Mytilus edulis: one gene and its partner. Each later gene encodes a partner of the first gene's protein in a complex. Links are inferred from orthologs where the notes say so. Each region holds a gene or a part of one and is shown in the gene's direction. Other genes may lie near its edges.

Evidence for each region.
Region 2: crooked neck-like protein 1 (region 1) and spliceosome-associated protein CWC27 homolog share a complex: the UniProt entries of both Homo sapiens proteins name them as parts of the minor spliceosome. The link is inferred for Mytilus edulis from reciprocal best matches to the Homo sapiens genes CRNKL1 and CWC27.

The regions. Positions count from the first base shown.
Region 1 is NC_092346.1:35,665,381-35,676,038, reverse strand, and holds the start of crooked neck-like protein 1, read left to right. Parts: upstream 1-6,174; 5' UTR 6,175-6,279; coding exon 6,280-6,330; intron 6,331-8,872; coding exon 8,873-8,962; intron 8,963-9,353; coding exon 9,354-9,416; intron 9,417-9,787; coding exon 9,788-9,879; intron 9,880-10,658. Other genes in the region: cilia- and flagella-associated protein 61-like, read right to left, coding at 375-534, 977-1,109, 2,568-2,691, 3,590-3,885, 4,414-4,556. UniProt on the Homo sapiens protein: Involved in pre-mRNA splicing process. As a component of the minor spliceosome, involved in the splicing of U12-type introns in pre-mRNAs.
Region 2 is NC_092344.1:100,217,145-100,228,791, forward strand, and holds the start of spliceosome-associated protein CWC27 homolog, read left to right. Parts: upstream 1-6,984; 5' UTR 6,985-7,071; coding exon 7,072-7,113; intron 7,114-9,988; coding exon 9,989-10,198; intron 10,199-10,881; coding exon 10,882-11,025; intron 11,026-11,647. Other genes in the region: protein SREK1IP1-like, read right to left, coding at 19-82, 2,685-2,819, 5,272-5,337, 6,748-6,754. UniProt on the Homo sapiens protein: As part of the spliceosome, plays a role in pre-mRNA splicing. Probable inactive PPIase with no peptidyl-prolyl cis-trans isomerase activity. As a component of the minor spliceosome, involved in the splicing of U12-type introns in pre-mRNAs.

The DNA.
Region 1 (10,658 bases):
ACAATTTTCTAACTCTTTGGTGTAAATGTAGAAGTAGTGGCTTAAGTTTGACACATTAGGGAGGATTAAAATTGGCACTATTTTTCTACTTCCAAAAGTTCTAAAATTAAATATATCTTAAAAATAATAGTTTGTGTACAAAAAGTTTTCTTGTTGCAGATACATTATATTAAATTCTGTTTGAGTTGTGATGACCATTTGATTGCTATTTTAACTATCATGGCGTTGTTACTTTCATTGACAACAGCATTGGGCCCTTAGTTTCTAGCAATAATTTTTTCATATCAATCTAGATCTACTGCGCTGAGAAAGGAAATTATCAGTAAGATAAAATGATTTTCATAAATAGCAATAATATTCATTTTAACACAAACCTGGAGGTGGACTTGGTGTTGGGGTTTTTGGTGGAACCAGATCATCATCTTGATGTGGTTTCTTCAAACCATGGAAAGATCCTAACTCAAAACATTCATTTAACATATCTGTGTTGACATCATTGCTTATACTCATGAATCCAACTGCTGTTCCTTCAACCTGTCAAAAATACATTTGTATGAGCTTTTCTATAACAGAAAACCTACTTAAACTTAGCTTCACATTGTACAGGTTCTGATAATTTTCTATGACTTTCACAACAATCTTTGGAATGTTAATTTTATTATAAATATTCCCTTTTGTGCTAACAGAAAGAGCAGAAAACACATTTGACATAATAATTTTTAACAAAATCAAAATATTTTTTAAAAAGTTTGAATTGAAGCAAATTTTGTTATTTCTTTCCAACAGAAGAGCAAGATTTTACAATCTGTAATAGTAATTTTATGATGTCTGTTTTACAATCAGCCTGAGAATATTAATAAAAATTCCCATTAACTATTTCTAACAAATATATATCAATTTGAATTATAACATGTACTGGAATGGTACTGTTTAAATATGAAACAAAAATTATTTAGAAATTGATTTTTTTTTATACCTCTGCTACTAAACACTGCATATGGTCATCTTGTGCTTCAATCAATTCAGCAAGGAAGAAATCACCATAAGCCATCTTCAGCATATCACTATGACGATTGAAGATGGGTGTCAAGTCATCATGGTCTTCAACTCTGTAAAAGTCAATATTTAAATCAGAGAATATAAAAGTTTAAAATTAATTAATCTAAAAAGTAGGAAAATCTGTTTAAAAAATGTTTTGACAGAAATGATTTTTACATACACTATTAAGTGAAATTTAAATTAATGGTTATATTGTTACGGTTTAGGGTATAAGCTGTAGGTTTGTAGATACAACTGTTTCAGGCTACTCCGTAAACACTCTATTCTATTTTCGCGTTCGTCGTTTACTGTTAGCCAACGCTTATATAAAGACATTTGATGAACATTGTGTATACTTTTATTGTTATTGTATGTAAATATTGTTAGTCAGGTCTCTGGGAATAATACTATAGAGTTCGTCTTCACTGTTTGACCACGGGGGGTCCCCCGACTGAATGAATGTTCCAACCTTCTGTTTACTCCTATTTCACACGTTCCTGCTTTATTACCTTGTTATTTTATTAGCGTTAGGCATATATATTGAAACCGGGGCCCATACATGCTAAGAGTAAGCTTAGATAGGTCCCGTTTGTCCATTTCCCCACTCGACAGAATGTCAACATTCCGATCGCCGCCATTTGCATCACTATGTTTATTGACGTCAGTGACCTAATGACCTAAGATCAGCATCCAATCAGCATAGCGTAATTTGCCCACCATATCCATAGGGGCACGTGACGTTGGTGGGGCAGAGATATAAAAGCAAGTGCACAAAAGTCTTCAGATAGACTGCGGCCCGCTACCAGGGCAGTCACTCCTGATACCAAGGAAACTTACCAAAGGCAAAGCAAACCAAAAGTGCCGCAGTCGATGCAATACATGTACCTTTGCATCCCCGTTGGATAAATGGACCAAACCATAAGTGACCTAGATGTTTTACTGCGTTTACTACGATGTTGACAAACGATTAACGTACCGAAAAGGGGGGTCTCTGTATATTTTATAAACTGTTCTGTTGGGTTTTCATGTGATTTATACTTGGAATAGTATTGAATGTTTTGTATATAATAAATTGTGAAGCTTTATTAATCTTGACATGTTATCTGTTGTACATGTAATTAGTAAGTCAATGTTAATGAGTTTCTGTGCGGCTACCATATTTAGACCAGTGCCTTAACTGTTTTGCCTGCTACGCTACCATAGTCTTGACCATTTTACCAGCTACGCTACCAGTATAACTTAGTTTGTAACTCGACACCAGAGTGGACAGATCTATATCAGAATTTACCAAGAATATAGTAACCAGGGTTATAACCTCATATAAATACCTTTACTTTTGGGACACCCCCGTCCCGTAACAATATGACTGTTTCTATTTCAATCACACTGTAAAAGGTAGTGTTTAGAATTAATAAGACTTGTTTAGGACAAAAACAATAGAAGACAAATAAAACTGACCCAATAATATCTAACTATTTTTTTACAAAATGAAAATATCATCCCCCGACAACATGATTTCTACTACATACGTTGCCTTTCTGACATGTAGAACAGGAACATGGTTATGTCTGTAGCAAGCAAACAGTGCTCCTTGTGTACTGCTAACACCCTCTCTTTTAGGTAACTGCTGGAATACACCGTCAAGTGAAGCATCTGCAATAGAATAGAGGTGAAAACATGATATTACACCAAATTAATTGTAGATTCACTATTGAAAGAGTATTGAATAACTATCCTGAAATTTATTGTTACCTATGTTGAATTCAATCAATGACTCTTAAATTGAATTAAAAGAGAGATTAAAGAACATGTACATGTTCTTTAATTGTAATTCACTGTTTTCATGATAAAGTCCCTCAAACAGAATCCGATAGCTATCAAAATCAAACTTGGGCAAGATGAAATATTTATACAATTTTTTTTTTAAACCTTTTTAGACAAATAATCAATTTGTAGCTGAAAGATAAATTCAAGAAGAATGCAATATTTAGATGCACCATTAAGTGATAAAAAATATCAAAATTCACATCAAGTATTATTTCCATGGACATCAAGAGGCTACATATCAGTTCCAATGATTAAAGAACAAGAATGCGTCCCCAGTACATGAATGCCGCATCCACACTATCATTTTTTTTATGTTCAGTGGACTGTGAAAATGGGAAAAAATCTCCAATTTGACATTAAAATTTGAAAGATCATATCATATGGAACATGTGTACTAAGTTTCAAGTGGATTGAACTTCAACTTCACCAAAAAACTACCTCGACCAAAAACTTTAATCTGAAGCAGGACAGATGGAAGAATGAACTGACGAAGGAACAGACAAACGCACAGACCAGAAAACATAATGCCCATAAATGGGGCAAAAAAATTGTATTTTGGTGGATACTTGTTTTTAAAGTTTGAATCAATTCTGCATACAAGCATACAGAATTTATTTTTGATAAGTGTCTCACATCTTCTATCTAGTAAATGCATGAAAATAAGTACTCCATGAAAATTTGTAAACCCTGACATTGTGACACAGTATTTTATTAAATAACATACCAGGATAAGCTTTCATTGGTACATTCAGGAATAAATAATGTAAGTCAGGAACGGCATTAAATGCAGTACGGATTATCTCCCTTGCACAACCACTGGCATATTCTTTCTTTGCAACAAAATAATGCATGTACAAGGAATTTAGAGCTGATGTTTTTGGAGTATCAAACATCTTGTGGAACCACTCCTCCCATGTTGATGGATCAACACCTTCAATGTTGGGATAATCAAAGAATGCAGCATGGCCAAGGATTTCTTCTTTGTCGTTACATAGAGTGACCGCTAACACAGCTTTCTCTCTGTGAATTAATGAACAAGGATAAAATCAATAAATTGGAAAAGTTTAGAATCAAAATACACAAAATGCAATTAAATATTTTTTTTGTTTACAGAATACTCAAAAAATTTAATCCAGATTTTGGTTTTCTGTATACTATATTTGTACTGTTATATTTTTAATACATTGTAACATGGTATATGTAGCATTAGGTAAATATTTCTGACTTTTTATATCTTTCAGTAATATTTCTGACTTTTTGTCTTTGAACAAAAACAAATACATGATAACAGACATCCTGTGGTTTTTTTCCCATGCAATAGAACCTCCATGACCAGTCAGATACATGTAAGATATAAAAATATTTCATGCTGTGGCAATAATTAAAAAGGGTCAATTTTGTTGTGTATTTTTTCAATTTTGGATGTTAAATCAGGTTTTCTTGTATTTGAAATTAATAATGTCATATATGTAAAATACAATGTTTGGTACTGTTGACTATATGCATAACAATCTCTAGACTTATTTCAAACTGATTGTTATGACTTACATTAAGTTGACAACATTAACTCTTCCAAACAATTGGTCAGTTGAACTGTTCACGAGCTTGATAATGTGTGGTGCATCTAGCGATTCTGTTCTTCTAGCATTTACAACCTCTGGGGGACCATCCACAGGTGTAATTGTTGCCATGTTTTCCAATTTATGCAAATTCTAGAAACAAATTAAATCAAAAATGTATAAATTAATACTGTGATGACTGTAGCATAAATGCCAACAACCCTTTTTGCAAAATCAGAAAGAAAGAAAAAAAATGCTGTAATATGTGTTTGATCAGTAGTCCATTTTTATAAAGTTTTAAATTATTATTTATTGTAGTATTAATACATACCTGCCAAGTTTTCAAAATGACCATGGGGGTTTTGCGTGCAAGATGGCTGCCATACTTCTAAAAAACCTTCAAGGGGGCCTTCAAATACAGTGTAATGTTGTTTTTTGACTTCTTCATACTTTTATAAGCCTCAATTCATTTTAAAATTAATTGTTTTGTTAAAATTGTGGACATAATTGCTCTTGAAAAATTTCAATTTGGGAGCCTTCATGGGGGAAATCCCCCGCAAATAGTGACAGTTGACAGGTATGTAAAATAATACACTTACTGAGGATTCATTAAATTTAATGGGAACCAATGTTTGTGGATAAAGGAAAACTGGCATGTTTGATGATATTTTATTTTATTTTGTGGTTCTCCCTTACCAACATGATCAATGAAAATTGGTATCCAACAAATAATAATTACCGTACCAAAACTTGATTACAAATATATTAATCATAAAATCAATAACAAGGGTGCTAATGTGAATTGGCGCGATAGTACTTTAGAGCGAACAGAACTGGAATCGATACAACTTATCGCTATTTGTCAGCCATTACTGAAAATCACACAGGTTCCCGTAAAATCTTGACGTCATAAAACAAAATATCTGACACCACAGTGGAAAAGTGATTGTTGTATGCGTCAAAAGTTCAAGCGGCCAGGTCAGCCGGGATTAGCGATAAGGCGTATTGTACCAGCTAAAAATATGCAATTAAATTGAAAAGAACTTTTAATCGCAAAAAGGTAAAGAAAGTGTCATTAATCAATTAAAATACAAGTCTCGTCACAGAACTCTTGTATCAATGACTACACAGAACCCCTATTCAAAAAACCTGCAACTCGTAAAGGAAAAAATCTGTTAATTCTGTTTGTTGACAACATCCCCTGAAACCTGCCAAGAACTAAAACGTCAAGTTTCCTTACAAAATCGGTAAAATTTGTGAAAATACTTTATTGTTCAATCAAGTTGAAGAAGTTTATTGAGTTAAACGAGGTTGACAGGGAAATTCATGGGCAGTCATATGAGAAAACAGCTATATAATTCCAAATTTCATGTCCAACCTATCATTTGCTTAAGCGTGACATGCATAAAATGTGCCTGATTAGTAAGTGATATAAGGACTAGTTCAATTTAAAGTCTTATTTTTTAACTAAGAATTACTCAAATGCCTATTTCTCATACAGTTAGTGTGGATAATCAATATATATTCTCACTTTTTTGGATATCTCAAAGCTTTACCGCCATTGCAAAGCTGCTACTTAGCAACGATACGTTAAAAGTTTCGTATATCAACAAATATCTAATATGATTTCTTCAACAAAATAACATATAATATATTATCATATAATGTAATTTACAATCATTTTTTAAAGTAAAAGAGGGACTGCAGTGTATTTATTTCTTCTGAATATTTGTCATAAGTTTCGAACATTTCTATTTCCGTTTCCGGAAAAACAAAATTTCGATATTTGAACGTCCACACTTGCTTTGTAGTTAGTTTTATATTTAAAAGGCGCTGTTTATGTTAATTTAACAAGATGCTTGAAGTTGACGAAGATGGCAAACGCAAAATGCCTAAAGTGGCAAAGGTGACGTTCTCAAACTTTAAAAATGTTTATCCTATATTTATGACCCAACTTGGCATTTCAATTTTTATGCATTAACCAGTTTACATTTTCAATGATTTTGAGGAAATCTAGAAGGGTAAAGAACCGAATGGGTGCGAGAAAACTCGACCGGAGTAAAATTGGTCTGTCTGCAAAAAGACAACTCTAACTGTATGAAAACAAACTCTGACTGTCAAGAATTCAAATGGGACCTCCTGTCTTAAGTTTTTAATATGAGACAGGCATTACCTGTAAATGGAGAAGAAGTCTGTATTATTATATTTTTAAAATTCAATCATGTTGATAAAAGAAACGGAAATACCGTAAGGTTTCCGATATTGGTTCTGTTGTTTAGGATTTAGTTGTGACGTTATTTAAGTTATGACGTCATATAATAATGTAAACAAAGAAACGCTGTTATCAGGTAACGTTTTTTCATATCTGACAACAATTATTAAAAGTGATTGGATGTTGAATTCCTTCCTATATTTGTTGATATGTTGATAAATATACATTTTATTCAGTCTCATGCAAACAAGACCGACTGGAAAACATTTGTGCGCAGATGCAGACCAGAAAAGGAAGTATATCTGAAAAAAATTTAACGATATTGAGTTCATTACAGTGTAGGACAGTCAGGCCAGCCAAAGGCTGACCGGATTTTTTTTTTTGGGCGAGTGTAAAAATAACTTCACAGGCCCAAAATGCATATTGGTAGCCCAATTATTTTACTCGATTTTTTTTTACCCGTTGAGCCTTAAAAAATGACAAAAAAGCAATATAAAAACGGTAGATGTTCTCAATTCCTCAATTAAACCTTCCTGATACATAACCCTAAAAAAATCATTCCCGTAGTCTTCATTGTCACTAAAATTCAGCATCACTGTTCAGTGCCTAATTTAGGATTTTGGAGAGGAAGAAGTGACTTCTCATTCCAAGAGAGAGAGGAGAGAGGCGAAGTTCCAATGCCGTTTCGGTTGCATAGTGATTTCGTGTTATCACTGGGGAAATATTGCTGCTGCGTTTAAAATTAAACAAGTTTATGCGAAATAATCTAAAAATAGCACGGGGAATTTCTGCTATAGATATTCTATTCCGTCATGCAGTCATTTCAACAGAGGTCTCCAAAGTGTCAATGCAAAACAACATAAAAAGACATTTTACATATATTTTATAAGCGAATTATTTTCTTATGTCACTGCCACATGCACTTGTTTCTGTCCTTGGGGGGTTTAACTATCCACATTCGTATGAAAAACATTTTGACAGCTTCTTGGATGTTTCCGTGTTTGCCGGTTTCCTTTCATAATTCCCATTTCCCTTGTTTGGTTAAGTGGGTCAGATGAGGTTTTACTGTCAATGACTGTCGCTAGCCTATATAAAACACCAATAGTTTAGCGACCATCATTGTCAGTAAAATTATTTTTGACCCACTATTAACAAGCACATTATCACGATGCGTTTGTAAATGCTATATTGATATTTTGATGCACTTGCACGTTTTAACGATGTGAACAGAGGATTTCCGAAAATGGGTGTTCCGAAGTTGAGGTGGTTTATTATAGGAGTAAACTACGATTTTGAGAATGATATACACTCGCCCAATGATTTATTTTTGGGCCAGTTACTATTCATCTTGACAATTTCTAATCGCCCAATCAAGGTGCTGGTCCATTGGCGACCAGGCGACTGGCTGTGTCCAACACTGTCATTAGCATGATTAGTAGAATGAAAAATTCTGGAAATATTCCCGATTTTTTTTTTTTTTTTTATTGATTTTTCTACCGTAATTGGGGACTTCGTCCCCATATAATAATATGAGGCAGGCATTACCTGTGAAAGGGAACGAAGTCTGTATCAATTTTTTTAATTTTACGTAACGTTTCAGATGTTGATTTTGTTGTTAGGAATACTCGAAGTCTCATGACAAATGAATCTGGAAAAAAAGTCAACACTTTTGAGTTCATTAAAATTATATATATTTTTTTTATTTATTTTTTCTACTGTTATAGGGGAATTCGTCCCCTTATTATAGACAGATGTTACCTGTGAAAGGGGACAAAGTCATTCATATTTTAAATTTAGAACCTGTTTAATAAAAGGGGACGACATAGTCTGAATACTTTGTTTTTTAATAGTCCAGCATATTTTGCTTTCAAACTCTTAAAACAGAAACGGAAATATGGAAACTTTTCCAACGTTGGTCCTGTTGTAAGGGATTTAAGTTGTGACATCATTTTCAATGTAAACAAAGAAACACTCATCAGGTAACATTATTTTATTTTTCATATCAAACACTTATCAAACAAACACCAAATTAGATGGAAACAATATGATACTCCTTCCAATTTTACAAGTTATCACAAAAAAAACGAGAAGAAAAAAAGAGATTTCTGGGAAAATGTGGAAAAATGAAAAAAGTCTGAAAATTGAAAGTTAACGATTTTGAGTTCATCATGTTCATTAGTAGTTCAATTTTTTTTTTAAACTACTGTATATTGACTTTCATTCTCTTTGTTTGAAGGTTAAGAACAAGATGCCAGCACCAGTCCAGATTACTGCAGAACAGTTACTCAGAGAGGCCAAAGAGAGGGAATTGGAGCTTGTACCTCCAGTATGTTACTCTATGTTATTCAAAAAAATCATAGGGGTTCCTAAAAGTTTTCAATTTCATTAAAATTTTACCAACAGCTTTTTATTTAAATCAGATGTTGAAAAAAATATATCCTTTGTTTAAATCACCTGATTTGAGATTTTGTAAACTTTGCAATATTGGTTTCAGTACCTAATAGATTTAAAAGATGCTCTTGAATGATAAAGTATAACTTGATCGTGTCTACGTTTGTATATGGCTCTAGCTATAGCTGGTATTTTTTGTTAACTCCTTTTGAATTTTAACAAGTATCAATTTGATTTGATTTAATTAGTTAGTCATTTTCAATATATTGAGAAAGGTCACATTAACATGATAACAATACTGATATAAGCAAACTTTTATATTAAAGCCTCCAAAACAGAAGATATCAGATCCAGATGAATTAGCAGCTTATAAAATGAGGAAAAGAAAAGTGAGTACAAATCTATATATGATTGCTTTAAGGACTATGAGATTCTAGCAATTTCATGCATATTTGTCTTTTGAGCCCAATCCTATATTTCAAATTTCTACCTTCTAATAGATTTCTTTTAGAATTATAATTATAAATTAGTTTTACCCTATATAAACAAGATGCTGTTTAGAAAATGTTGACTATGTCAGGATGCTTTTTGAAAATTTCTGATACATGTACTGTGAATTCATTAATGTTTGTTTTAAGGGAGGAGGGTTATGACTCACTGAAAAAAAGGGATAAAATCTTTATTTTGAATGACTTTTAATTACATGTATATACATTCTTTGTATGCTTTTTTAGCTTGCTTATATTATTTTTTATGATAGGCATCTGAGGATAACATAAGGAAGAATAGAACAGTCATGATAAATTGGATTAAATATGCACAGTGGGAAGATTCACAACAAGAAGTTCAAAGGTAATTAATCTTAACTAATAAAATAACTTTATGGTTGCATAGTAAGGTACACATACAAATGACATATTGGTGGAATCTGTGCCAAAATCAAACTAAAGACTATAAAATTGGTCCTGCTGCTTTCTCTTAAGTTCACATTATAAGTAAGTTAGTAAGCAGGATTGAAGCTAAAATTTTGAGGTCTATAGTCACTTTTGCTTGCTACTGAAAAACTTACCTTTTCGGGAAACAACTTGTATGGGCACAAAAAACAACAATAACAAAACATGTTTAATGTGTTCTCCCAACTGTGTTTTCAGCTATTCATTTGTATTGTTTATAAAATATCCATTTCACATTATAAAAAATTACTTGTTGACAGCTATTATTGTTTAAATAGTTACTGTTTCCATTAAAATAGAGTTGCTAGTCATCTTTTAAGTATGTTTTATCTGAGACAACTCACCTTTCAATACCCTTAAGGGTTCTCAGCAGTGTGAGTAAATTTTCCTTTCTTAGCTGAAGTTCTGGATGTGGTTTATAGAATAGGAGCCTTTGACCATCATGTTAATGTGATACTATGTTGATTGAATGTAAGATATCTGAAATGATTTTTAAAATATATTCAATAGGAAATAAAATTTCATAAAATTGACACTGGAAACAATAACAAGTTTAAAAAAGACAACAATCTGACCAAATAGCAGAAAACAGACAAAAGCAACCAATGGGTCTCCAATGCAGTCTACCATTATAATAATGCAGTTTTGCTATGTGGAAAATAATTTTGTTTACTTAAT
Region 2 (11,647 bases), on another chromosome or scaffold:
TAAATGTTTTATTCAAACCTTTTGTGTTTTTTCTTTTTCTTTTTCTCTATTTTCTTTTTCTTTTCTTCTACCTTATACTTTTCTAAAAAATACAATATGAAAATTTATTTCTGTATAATAATAAACTTTTAAACCAGGTGCTCCGCAGGGCGCAGCTTTATACGACCGCAGAGGTCGAACCCTGAACAGTTGGGGCAAGTATGGACAAAACATTCAAGCGTGATACAGCTCTGAATTTGGATTGTGATCAAATTTTTGACATTACATGGTTTTTTTTACACAAAACAAATGTCAAGATTTTACAAATCAATTAAAGATTTCTCCTTCAAACTTATTTAAATCTAAAATTAAATAGTTGACACAGCATAGGTTTCTGACACCGAATGAATGTGGTCTAATGAACTTAAAAATTTTTTTTTGCCTTTGAGCAATTCACTATGCTGTTGAATATTAATCCTCTAAAAAAAATGTTTGAAGAAATTTTCTTTTTATTTATGAAATCTGAAATGAGAAAATTTTAACCCCCCCCCCCCCCACCCCATTTTTTTCACATCCACGTTTCCCTTTTTCCAAAACTGATATCAATTCAAATTTCTAATGGAGTTTGCAACAATAACTACTCTTTTAAATACATCATAAAATATTAAAATGTAAAATAAAGTGCTTGTTATCACTGAATGGTAAAGATTGGTTGGTAGTAAAAGTGAATATACATTGTTTATTGTATAAAACAATAAAAAAAACTTCATCAGCAACATTTAATATTGGCAAATTTCCAATGAAGTTATTTACATAAAGTTATTGGCAAATAAAAATAGAAAATGACATCATAGTCATGTCTGGCAAATGTCCAACATACATTATCTAAAAACATTTTAGATAAGATAAGGAAAAAAAGCTTCATCAGCAACATTTTATATTGGCAAATTTCCAATGAAGTTATTTACATAAAGTTATTGGCAAATAAAAATAGAAAATGACATCATAGTCATGTCTGGCAAATTTCCAACATATATTATCAACTACTATTCTATACAAAAAAAGATAACTCCAATTGAAAATTAATTGCTATTGCACAATATTGTGCAATTAGATATTTCTTGCTATTGTGCAATACTGTGCAATTGAAAATTTCTTGCTATTGCACAATACTTGATATGGAATCCTGATTTGGACCAACTTGAAAACTGGGCCCATAATCAAAAATCAAAGTACATGTTTAGATAAAGCATATCAAATAAGCCCAAGAATTTAATTTTTGTTAAAATCAAACTTAGTTTAATTTTGGACCCTTTGGACCTTAATGTAGAACAATTTGAAAACTGGACCAAAAATTAAGAATCTACATACACAGTTAGATTTGGCATATCAAAGAACCCATTTATTCAATTTTTGATGAAATCAAACAAAGTTTAATTTTGGACCAACTTGAAAACTAGGCCAATAATTAAAAATCTAAGTACATTTTTAAATTCAGCATATCAAAGAAACCCAAAGATTCAATTTTTGGTTAAAATCAAACTAAGTTTAATTTTGGACCCTTTGGACCTTAATGTAGACCAATTTGAAAACGGGACCAAAAATTAAGAATATACATACATAGTTAGATTCAGCATATCAAAGAACCCCAATTATTCAATTTTTGATGAAATCACACAAAGTTCAATTTTGGACCCTTTGGGCCCCTTATTCCTAAACTGTTGGGACCAAAACTCCCAAAATCAATCCCAACCTTCCTTTTGTGGTCATAAACCTTGTGTTTAAATTTCATTGATTTCTATTTACTTATACTAAAGTTATTGTGCGAAAACCAAGAATAATGCTTATTTGGGCCCTTTTTTGGCCCTTAATTCCTAAACTGTTGAAACCAAAACTCCCAAAATCAATCCCAACCGTCCTTTTGTGGTCATAAACCTTGTGTCAAAATTTCATAGATTTCTATTCACTTAAACTAAAGTTATAGTGCGAAAACCAAGAAAATGCTTATTTGGGCCCTTTTTGGCCCCTAATTCCTAAAATATTGGGACAAAAACTCCCAAAATCAATCCAAACCTTCCTTTTGTGGTCATAAACCTTGTTATAAAATTTCATTGATTTCTATTCACTTTTACTTAAGTTAGAGTGCGAAAACTAAAGGTATTCGGACGACGACGACGACGACGCCAACGTGATAGCAATATACGACCAAAAAATTAAAATTTTTGCGGTCGTATAAAAACCACATGGATCTATCTTTCATATAATTGTAAGTCAGTTAACTTCCCATAAATGATAACTAAATAATATAATAACATGGTTACCTGGGAAAGCTTGAACTGATACAGCATTTCAGAGTTAATCAAAGCTGATTCATTATATCCAATTAAATACATTTTGTAACAGACATCAAATAATTGAAAATAAGAACACAATTTAAACTGAGATAATGTATATGTAACTGTAAATCTAGATCTGAGTGACAAATTTTGTCTGGTAAAAAACTTTAAACACCTCATACATGTACATGTCATACACTCCTTATTGTTCACTAACTCAATAGATTTGTTATTAAACTTTTATAATTGAATGCCATTAAGTTATAAATAAATGAGTTATAGCTGATCATATACATGTATTACAATGCATTAGCGACAAGATCTCCTCAAAATATAACTCAGTGACAAAAAATAAACAGATGAACAAACCTTGTTGAAACTGACTGAGTGGTGAAATAAAATCATCTTCTGAGGAATCTGAGCTAGTACTACTGACATCTAAAACAATATCTTTACCAGGATCTGCCTTCACAAAGTTACGACACTGAAATGTTAGATGTCCAGCTAAAAAACATAATGAAAATAAAATAAGAAATTTTGTCTAAGCATTCTAAGGACATGAATGCCCTTGCTCAAGCTTTGCAATTTTCAATTATCAAAACGTTTAATGACTCACTGCCCAAATTAGAACTTAGTCTGCATGTTAAATAAAAACTTACCTAGAGTGAGTAAATTAAAATATTTACAATTTTCCAAAGTATAAAGGGGTATAACTCTAGAAAGGTTAATGAAATATTGCCAGAATTTAAACTCTGCGTGTTGTGGTTTTCAGCAATGATCAGCAATACCTTTAGTCCAGTCAAACTAAGTTTGAACCTCAAACTAATTGCAACAGAAAATGCTTTAATTCTAATCTATAGCATTTAGCCCCAAATATATACAGAAAGAAGTCCCATAAAATCTAATTTGAGGAAAACTCAAATTTTGCATTTTTAATTTCTTATAGAAATTAACATTGGAAAGGGAGATAACTCAGCAAAAATGAGACTTTTATGTCAGTTTTTGTTTGATTTTCTTAAAATTCATGTAATATATGATACTTTGATGGAGTTATAACTTCGTATTTGACTATATTATATAATCTTCTGCTCATGAAATGTACAAAACCGAAGTGCTATGCATATTTTTTTAATTCTTTTTGCACATTTTCATTAAAAAAATTGCAAATTTATGGCCTAGTGACCATTTTGAAAAAATGAATATTTGGTATTATTTCTATCTGTAAATTATATTTGTTCAGCATCTACCTTGTTCATAGAAACTTTAAACCACAAAAAGAGGAATATATGCTTAATTAGTTTTATTATTCAATTTGAGATTCTTTACCTTAACATGCTGAAAAATCTAATAAATGGTCAACTATTTAATTATGAAGTCTAGGTTCTAGCTTGATAAAAGATATGATAATACCTTAAGAGTTCTTTGTTATACTCTAAAGATGACTCAAATATCAAGAATCAATACATTCTGTTGAATAGAAGCGGTAAAGTTATAACTTTTTATCAATCTTTATTGATATTTCTGCATTTTTGCAGAGTTATCTCCCATATGAACGCAAATCTCCATAGGAATTTTAAAATCATGATTTTTTAGTTTTCCACAAGTTATATTTTATAGGACTTTTTTCTGTGTATATTTGGGGTATAATGCTAAAGATTAAAACTTATGTATGCTAGATTGACTGGACTACCAATGATTTTCTTAAAATTTGGATGAGGCAAACTTAAGTTAGAGTGCGAACATGAACAGACTTGCATTTCCAAGTTATACTTATAAAAGGGCATAACTAACTGTAAATGACTCTGTGATCAAATTTGATCTCTGTCTGCCACTTTTGGTTTTTAGCACCATGTATGACTTTCAGAAAGTTTGGATGAGGAAAACATAACCAAGAGTGGTAAAACAAAAATGGGTCAGACAAAAGGACTGACAGATGGACAGAGGGATAGTCAAGGGTAACAATTAATGCCCATGTTGCCTACGGTTGAGGCATAAAAAGAAAACATAATTATACTTAAAGGAATAGGAATGAAATAGTCATGGCTGGTAAAAGATTTCCATTACACTGCACGTCTTATGATACGGAAATAAGAATGCTATAATGTCTCAACTGCTCAATTAACTATTTTTTCTATATAATAGCTCAATAGAAGTAAGTAGACAGTTATTTAGATAAAAAAAAAATCATTCAATTTTAATAAAAATTAAATAATGCCTGAATATTTTAAAACAAGAATGTGTCCTCAGTCCACGAAAGCCCCACTCGCACTATCATTTTCCATGTTCAGTGGACCGTGAAATTGGGGTAAAAACTCTAATTTGGCATTAAAATTAGAAAGATCATATCATAGGGGACATGTGTACTAAGTTTGAAGTCGATTGGACTTAAACTTCATCAAAAACTACCTTGACCAAAAACTTTAACCTGAAGCGGGACAGACGGACGGACACACAGACCAGAAAACATAATGCCCCTCTACTATCGTAGGTGGGGCATAAAAAATAAACCAGAACAATCCACATTGTCAATTAAAGACTTGTGAATTGAGATGTCGCAAGTGGGAGCAGTGTGACAAATTAAAAACAAAGATCATGCAAGTGAGGAATGTATATAGCAATAAACAAACTACATTATTTCATGATTATCATGAAGTTTTAAAAGATATAGTAACTTGCCTATGCTGTTAAATGGTACACAGCTGAATACTGTGAATTTATTTATTTTTGTTGATACTATAGTAAAAATAATATATAGTGGTATTTGATTTCAAGGTTTTTGCAATGTCTTATTACAAGCCTTTAGAATATTTGTACTTTGTTAAACATGAAAAAGTTTGTTTTACCAATACCAAGGATTAGTTTACAAATCCTTGCATTTACCCACAAATTCCATAAAATTTGGTATCCCATATAAAGACTCTTCAGTATTAAATACAATACAATCTGCTATACATACCATATCCACATTTTTTACAGGCTGGTTTAAGTCCATCATTTTTATTGGTGTATTTGCTGCCTATGCCTAAAAGTTTTAAAAAAAATAATGTTGATAAGGCATCAGTCATGTCAGTCAAAGATTAAAATCAAATAATAAGACCTAAAAGATTGGAATATCTTGCCTGCTATTTATTATTGAAAACCCGAAGGGACTTCTTTCAACATGTTAATAGAGATTTTATTTGTCGATAGATTATATCATTATTTTATAATAAAAAAAAAATATCTTGCTTCACTTTTGATGATTTTTCAAATACCCGCAAAGTTGTTATAATGTATGTGACCTCATGGATTAGAAAATACTTTTAAATAAAATTCATCTGTTAGACAATAATGATAGGACATTAACTTAAGCATAATAAATTAAATACATGTAACACATAGTGAGAGGATGATAGAGCAGATTGGTAACCCTCAAAAAAGCATTGTCAATCTTGGCTTGGTAGTGATTGACACTGTATTCTTTGGTAACAATCTGTCATTGGATGCCAAATTGACTTTAAATGGGTGCCTATTTTTAACCAGATGTCGATTTAACAAGGTGCCAATTTGACTTTTTCTGTGGGTGCTGATTTAACTTTTAGTTGTATCCCAATCTGCTCTATCGTCCAATGTTTTATTTATATATGGCAGTGTCTGCGCCTGTCTGCGAGTACCTGCATACGGATACACTTAGCCAAATTGGCCTTTTTAGGCTATGTGTACCCGCAACCGATTTTATAAGAAAGTGTCATATGATTGGGAAAGCAACGTGAAAGATACACAAAAATTATTGGTTATTTTTCTGATTTTGTGAATTCTGTGAAGATAATAGCAAATAATATTTTTTAAATTGTTTTTAATGTATTAGTTAGAAAAATAGAAATCAAATATAAATGCATATTTTTACGAAAGTGTATCACGGTACGTCGTAAAATAATAATAGGCGTAGAACTTTTTTTTTCATATATATTGACATTTCAAATCTTAAAATCTCTGTGAGTAATCAATTTATTCTCTCACTTATTGCGATGTTTTCTGAGTTAATTTTACAATTTATTCCTGATCCGATGACATTAAATTATAAAACTGGAGGCGGGTGTGCGTAGCCGTAGCCTACAAAGGCCAATTTGGCTACGCATACCTCACATGCAGGTACGTACATACACTACCTATTCATATACTCATTATTACTGTCATCTGCGAAGAGTCGGATTTTACTATGTTGGATGTATTTTGGGAGGTCGTTTATGTAAATTAGAATAGTATTGGTCCTAGCACTGTACCCAGTGTGACACCTGATCATGTGACTGGTATAATTTTTAAAGATGACTCTTTCTAAAAGTACTGACTACTGTTTTTGTTTGTGTTCTGTTTGACAAAAATGATTCAATCCAGTTTATTATTTGATTCCTGTCATGAACAAGTTGTATCAAATTTGTCTTTCTTTGTTTACCTTGCATTGTGTCATAAATCGTAAAACTGCGGAATGGTCTAAATTTTTTGGTTAGGTACCTAAGGGAGATAATCTGGTATCATTCAAGTCAAAACTAAAAGAAAATCAACATTAACTTTCCATGATTATTACGAAATTACATTCTGTTTAAAAAATCCCATAAATAATCAAATATAATGAATATTATGAATTTGAATATGAAATTCTTAGTTTATTATACAAATACATCATTTACTATTTTATCTTTTAGTTAGACCTAAACAAAATGGCTGCGCCCATTGACATTTCAAATTAATGGTCTAGTTTGTTTTTGTTTGACAGGCTATGAGCAATATTTATATACAAGAACCGCCTACGAGCGGAAAGGTAGAAAATTAGTGTTTTACTTTGCTGTTTAAAAAAAAAGTAAACAGTCTTGCTATATTATAACTCCAGCAGACAGTTGACAATATCAATAACAACAGCTGTTTTACTATCTTTCTATCTGTATATTTTAAGCCAATGAATTTTACTGACACCTCATCTTGGAATGTCTTCTTCTTCTTCTCCTTCTTCTTTAGTTACAGAAAACCATCAACATTTTGAAGATTACATTCTGGTGCATGCTTGATTGAGGTTCTTCTTCTTCTTCCAGGTAAGGAACCAGATTCATTGCTGAATGTTAATGGTTCCGCACGAAAACTTTACGCAGTGTCGGGCAACACAGAAAGATTTCTCTTGGCTATTTACAAATTACATTTAAAACGTTCGCAGAAAAATATACAATTAAAATTATTTACAACTGGTTTTCCTACTTCCTTTCAGAGCATGCCTTCAGGGCAGCTCTGAATCCCTCAACGGTGTTGGTCGCTGTAACTGTCGTTGGTAGGTTGTTCCAGTCCCTGATTGTCCTCGGGAAGAAAGATTGGCCGTAGGTGTCTGTACTTGTTCTTTCTTGGAAGAAGCGGTTTTTACCTCTGGTCCGGTTATCATTCGGTGTCAAATATTTGTGACGGTCTATATCTATAAGTTCATGCTGGATCTTGAATAGCATGCACAATCTATTTGTTTTCCTCCGTTCTTCGAGGCTTTCCCACTTTAGATTTTTAACCATATTTGTGACACAGCCAGGTGTTCGGTCTGTGTAGTTGTTATTCACAAATTCGTGCAGCTCTTTTCTGAACCTGTTCAATTGCCTTGATTTTATTTTGAGCGGTTGGGTCCCATACTGTGCTTGCATATTCCACTGCAGGTCTTACCATGGACACATATGCAGCTGCCTTTACAGGTTTTGTACAGCCTTTGAGGTTTCTACGTATAAACCCCAAAGTTCTGTTTCCTTTGCCTACTGTATTGTCTATGTGTTTATCCCATGTTAGGTTGTTACTGATGGTTACTCCAAGATATTTACTTGCTTCCTCTGGTTGCCTTTTAAAGTTTTTAAAAATTTTGTCATCATGGTCATAATGCAATTTCTCATTGTATAATAATTGCATAATGACAAGGAGAAAAATTAGAATAGTTTTACAGTTCTGCCAACTTTTCGTGAAGCAAATGTGTAAGATTTTGTCAAAATTGAAAAGATCAAAGAGAAAAAACAATACATGTAGATCAAAAGAAAATGCCAAAAAAAAAAGCACACACATGCGTGAGACTTGGCAGGTTTTATATATACATGTATTATAAAAAAAATAAAATTTATTTAGGTGTCCATGTTTTAATTTATGCAAGCTTCTCCTCATTGTTGTATCTTTTTCAAATAAAAGATCAAATATTTGACAAGGTTATATTTGTCTTCAAATTTCAATGGGACCTGAATGTAACGGTCATCTTGTCGTGATGTCATATACATTTTGTATCAGATGACGTCGTGTTTGGACATCTGAGGTCACAAACATCCAGCGGTCGTATTTTCTGGCACATGAAATGCAACCTTGAAAAACAACTGGCAGTAAGAGGGTTAACAATTGACAGGAACATATAAATTGATACAGGTTCCAATTTTTGCCATTTAACTGACTTAAAATTATTCAAGGTCTTTGCCGTCACTGTTAAATCAGACCGGTTATTCCACTGATCCACTACTCTAATTGAAAAAGTATTTAGTCTATGTCAGTATGTGTTGTCTTACAATGTTTCTTAAAAAGTTTTTTAAGGAGTGACCTTTCGTATACATTTTGTAACATTATAATAAGATGGTGATTAAGTAAATAAGCTCAATGAACGTAACCTATCTTCAAAACTTAAATGATTTATGTTCTTGACGAGTTAAGTGGTCTTTCTTTGGACAGATTCAAATTTACAAATATTTTTTTAAGAGTGGCGACACCTGTAGCATATTCCAACTTTTGTTTTTAAATCGGTTCTCATTAATTCAAAATTTTAGAATGTACCAATACATGATCTTCAAAATGGAGATATTCTATTTGTTAATATTTATTTCTAATTATCCTACCTGATAGCATAATAAGAGGTTCTTTTTCCTGGAAAAATTTGATTTCTAACAGCAAATACCTTTGACTTGTTTCATTTGAACAACAACAAGATAAAAATGTCTCTAGTGTAAAAAGAATTGAAAATACTTTTTCATTATTGAATAAACAACTTGGTACACTTGAACAATCATTAATGACATTATAATGATATCATGCAATAAACGATTTCTGTCAGTGCAGGTTTTTCCATCACACTTGTGCTCATTGGTTGTAGAAGTTAATATAAACGGCTCATGGTTAAGGTCACTCCATACAGAAAAGCTGTAATCAAATTTGAGTATTGGAACACGACAATAAATAAATAGCAGTTAGCTATGACATGTACATGTATGAAGATTAGGATGTTCATTTACAAGAAAGTTTATGCACATATCATATGTTTTATAATAAAACTTTTCCATTCCATTCAAGTATTGAAAATATATTTTCATCTGTTACTTAGCGCATAACTACTTGAGCTAGTGAATATAATGTAGCTGAGAAAAAGAAAACATTAGTTAATGAAATTAGGTTTAATCAGAAGTATATCTCATCTAAGAATTGTGATAAAAGAAGGAGCACAAACCTTGTTCTTTGAGATAAGTAGATATAAAAAAGAAGGTTATTAGACTATATTACATGTACATGTACTTGTATGTGAAGCCTCATATAATTTTATGTTCAAACAATGTAGAAAAGCTTGCCTAGTTGAGAGTCTCAATGTTTAATCTGTTTCAACTTGATTCACATGAACATGACCATCTGTATTATGTTAAATCTATTTGTAGGTTCTATTAGATACAAGTGTAGGAGACATTGACATAGAATTATGGTCGAAGGAAGCCCCTAAAGCATGTCGAAACTTTGTTCAGTTGTGTATGGAGGGATATTATGAGGATACAATTTTCCATCGCATTATCAAGGATTTCATTGCACAAGGAGGGGACCCATCAGGCACTGGAGATGGTGGTGAATCTATTTATGGTCATCCATTTAAGGTAAAGTGTTTTACATCTTCAGTCAGTTTTACATATATATATTGAATAAAAACTGATTATTTCGTTTGTTTATTGTCAAATAGAGAATGTGTTTGGTATATAGATGCTTTAAAATTAAAAAAAACAACACATAATAGATAATGTTTTTCGTATAAATCAGTGGCAGATCCAGAACTTTTTGTAAGGGAGGGCCTGTTGACTGACCTAAAAAGGGGGGGGGGGGCTGGTCCAGTCATGCTTCAGTGATTCCCTATAAAACTGATTATTTCATTTGTTTATTGTCAAATAGAGAATGTGTTTGATATAGATGCTTTAAAATTTAAAAAAAACAAAAAAACACATAATTATAGATTAGGTTTTTAATATAAATTATAATGGTGTACAAATACTGATGAATTTACAAACATCATCAACTTTAAGTTTTATTTGCAAGATTTTGTGTATTAAAAGAATATAATCATGATAATCAAAAGGCGTTTTCAACATGTTACATACATGTATGTTGACTTTGTTTCCTTAAGATTGTTTCAGTAATCAACTAAATTAAAAACTTACATCGTACATGTTTCATGATATTAATATGTTTCATGTCACAATAAACATCATAAGGAAACAATATAAAACATATAATCTAACACTTGCCAACTGTTTTGTAATCAATAATGACTTTTGATTTGTTTCAGGATGAAATTCATTCAAGACTTCGTTTTGTTAGAAGAGGACTGGTTGCCATGGCAAATGCAGGGCCGAATGACAATGGTAGTCAGTTCTTTTTCACTTTGGACAAAACACCAGAGCTGCAAAGTAAACACACCATTTTTGGAAAAGTAAGATTTATTATACATGTAGTTTCTGTTTTGGGTTGTCAATAAAAGTTCTTAAAATACACAATTATGAATTATATGTGTACGCAAGCCTTAGTTTATTGGGGTTATATTTCCAGTTGATGTGTTAAAACAGATCATTGTCAGAAGAAGAGAAAATGCTTCTAAAGTCTAAAGATATTATAAATAATTTTCAATTTTCTTATTCTAACTCATTGAATGCATCTAATTTTGACATATTATTTCTTTTTAATGAAGAGAACAAAAAAAGCATGCAGATATAAACAAATAGCTTTACAGCAAAGATATTGCCACTGACAAAACTACAAATAGTTTATCTTAAAATTAAAAACATTAAAGAGTCATGATTATTAATTAACACTTCAATGGTCTATAGTAACATGTTATTCTCTAGTACAGGAAATTGTAGGAATTATCTAAGTTGGTTCAAATCAAGGACTATAGCAATATTATTTGCCTTCTTCACTAAACACATATCATTTCATATTAAAATTGACTTAGATTCAGAATAAAATGTCTAGATTAGTTACATGCCATTCTTTGGACTTACAACAAGGAGCTAGACCAATACAAATTTAAAATTAGTTTGTTTGATACAATGCAG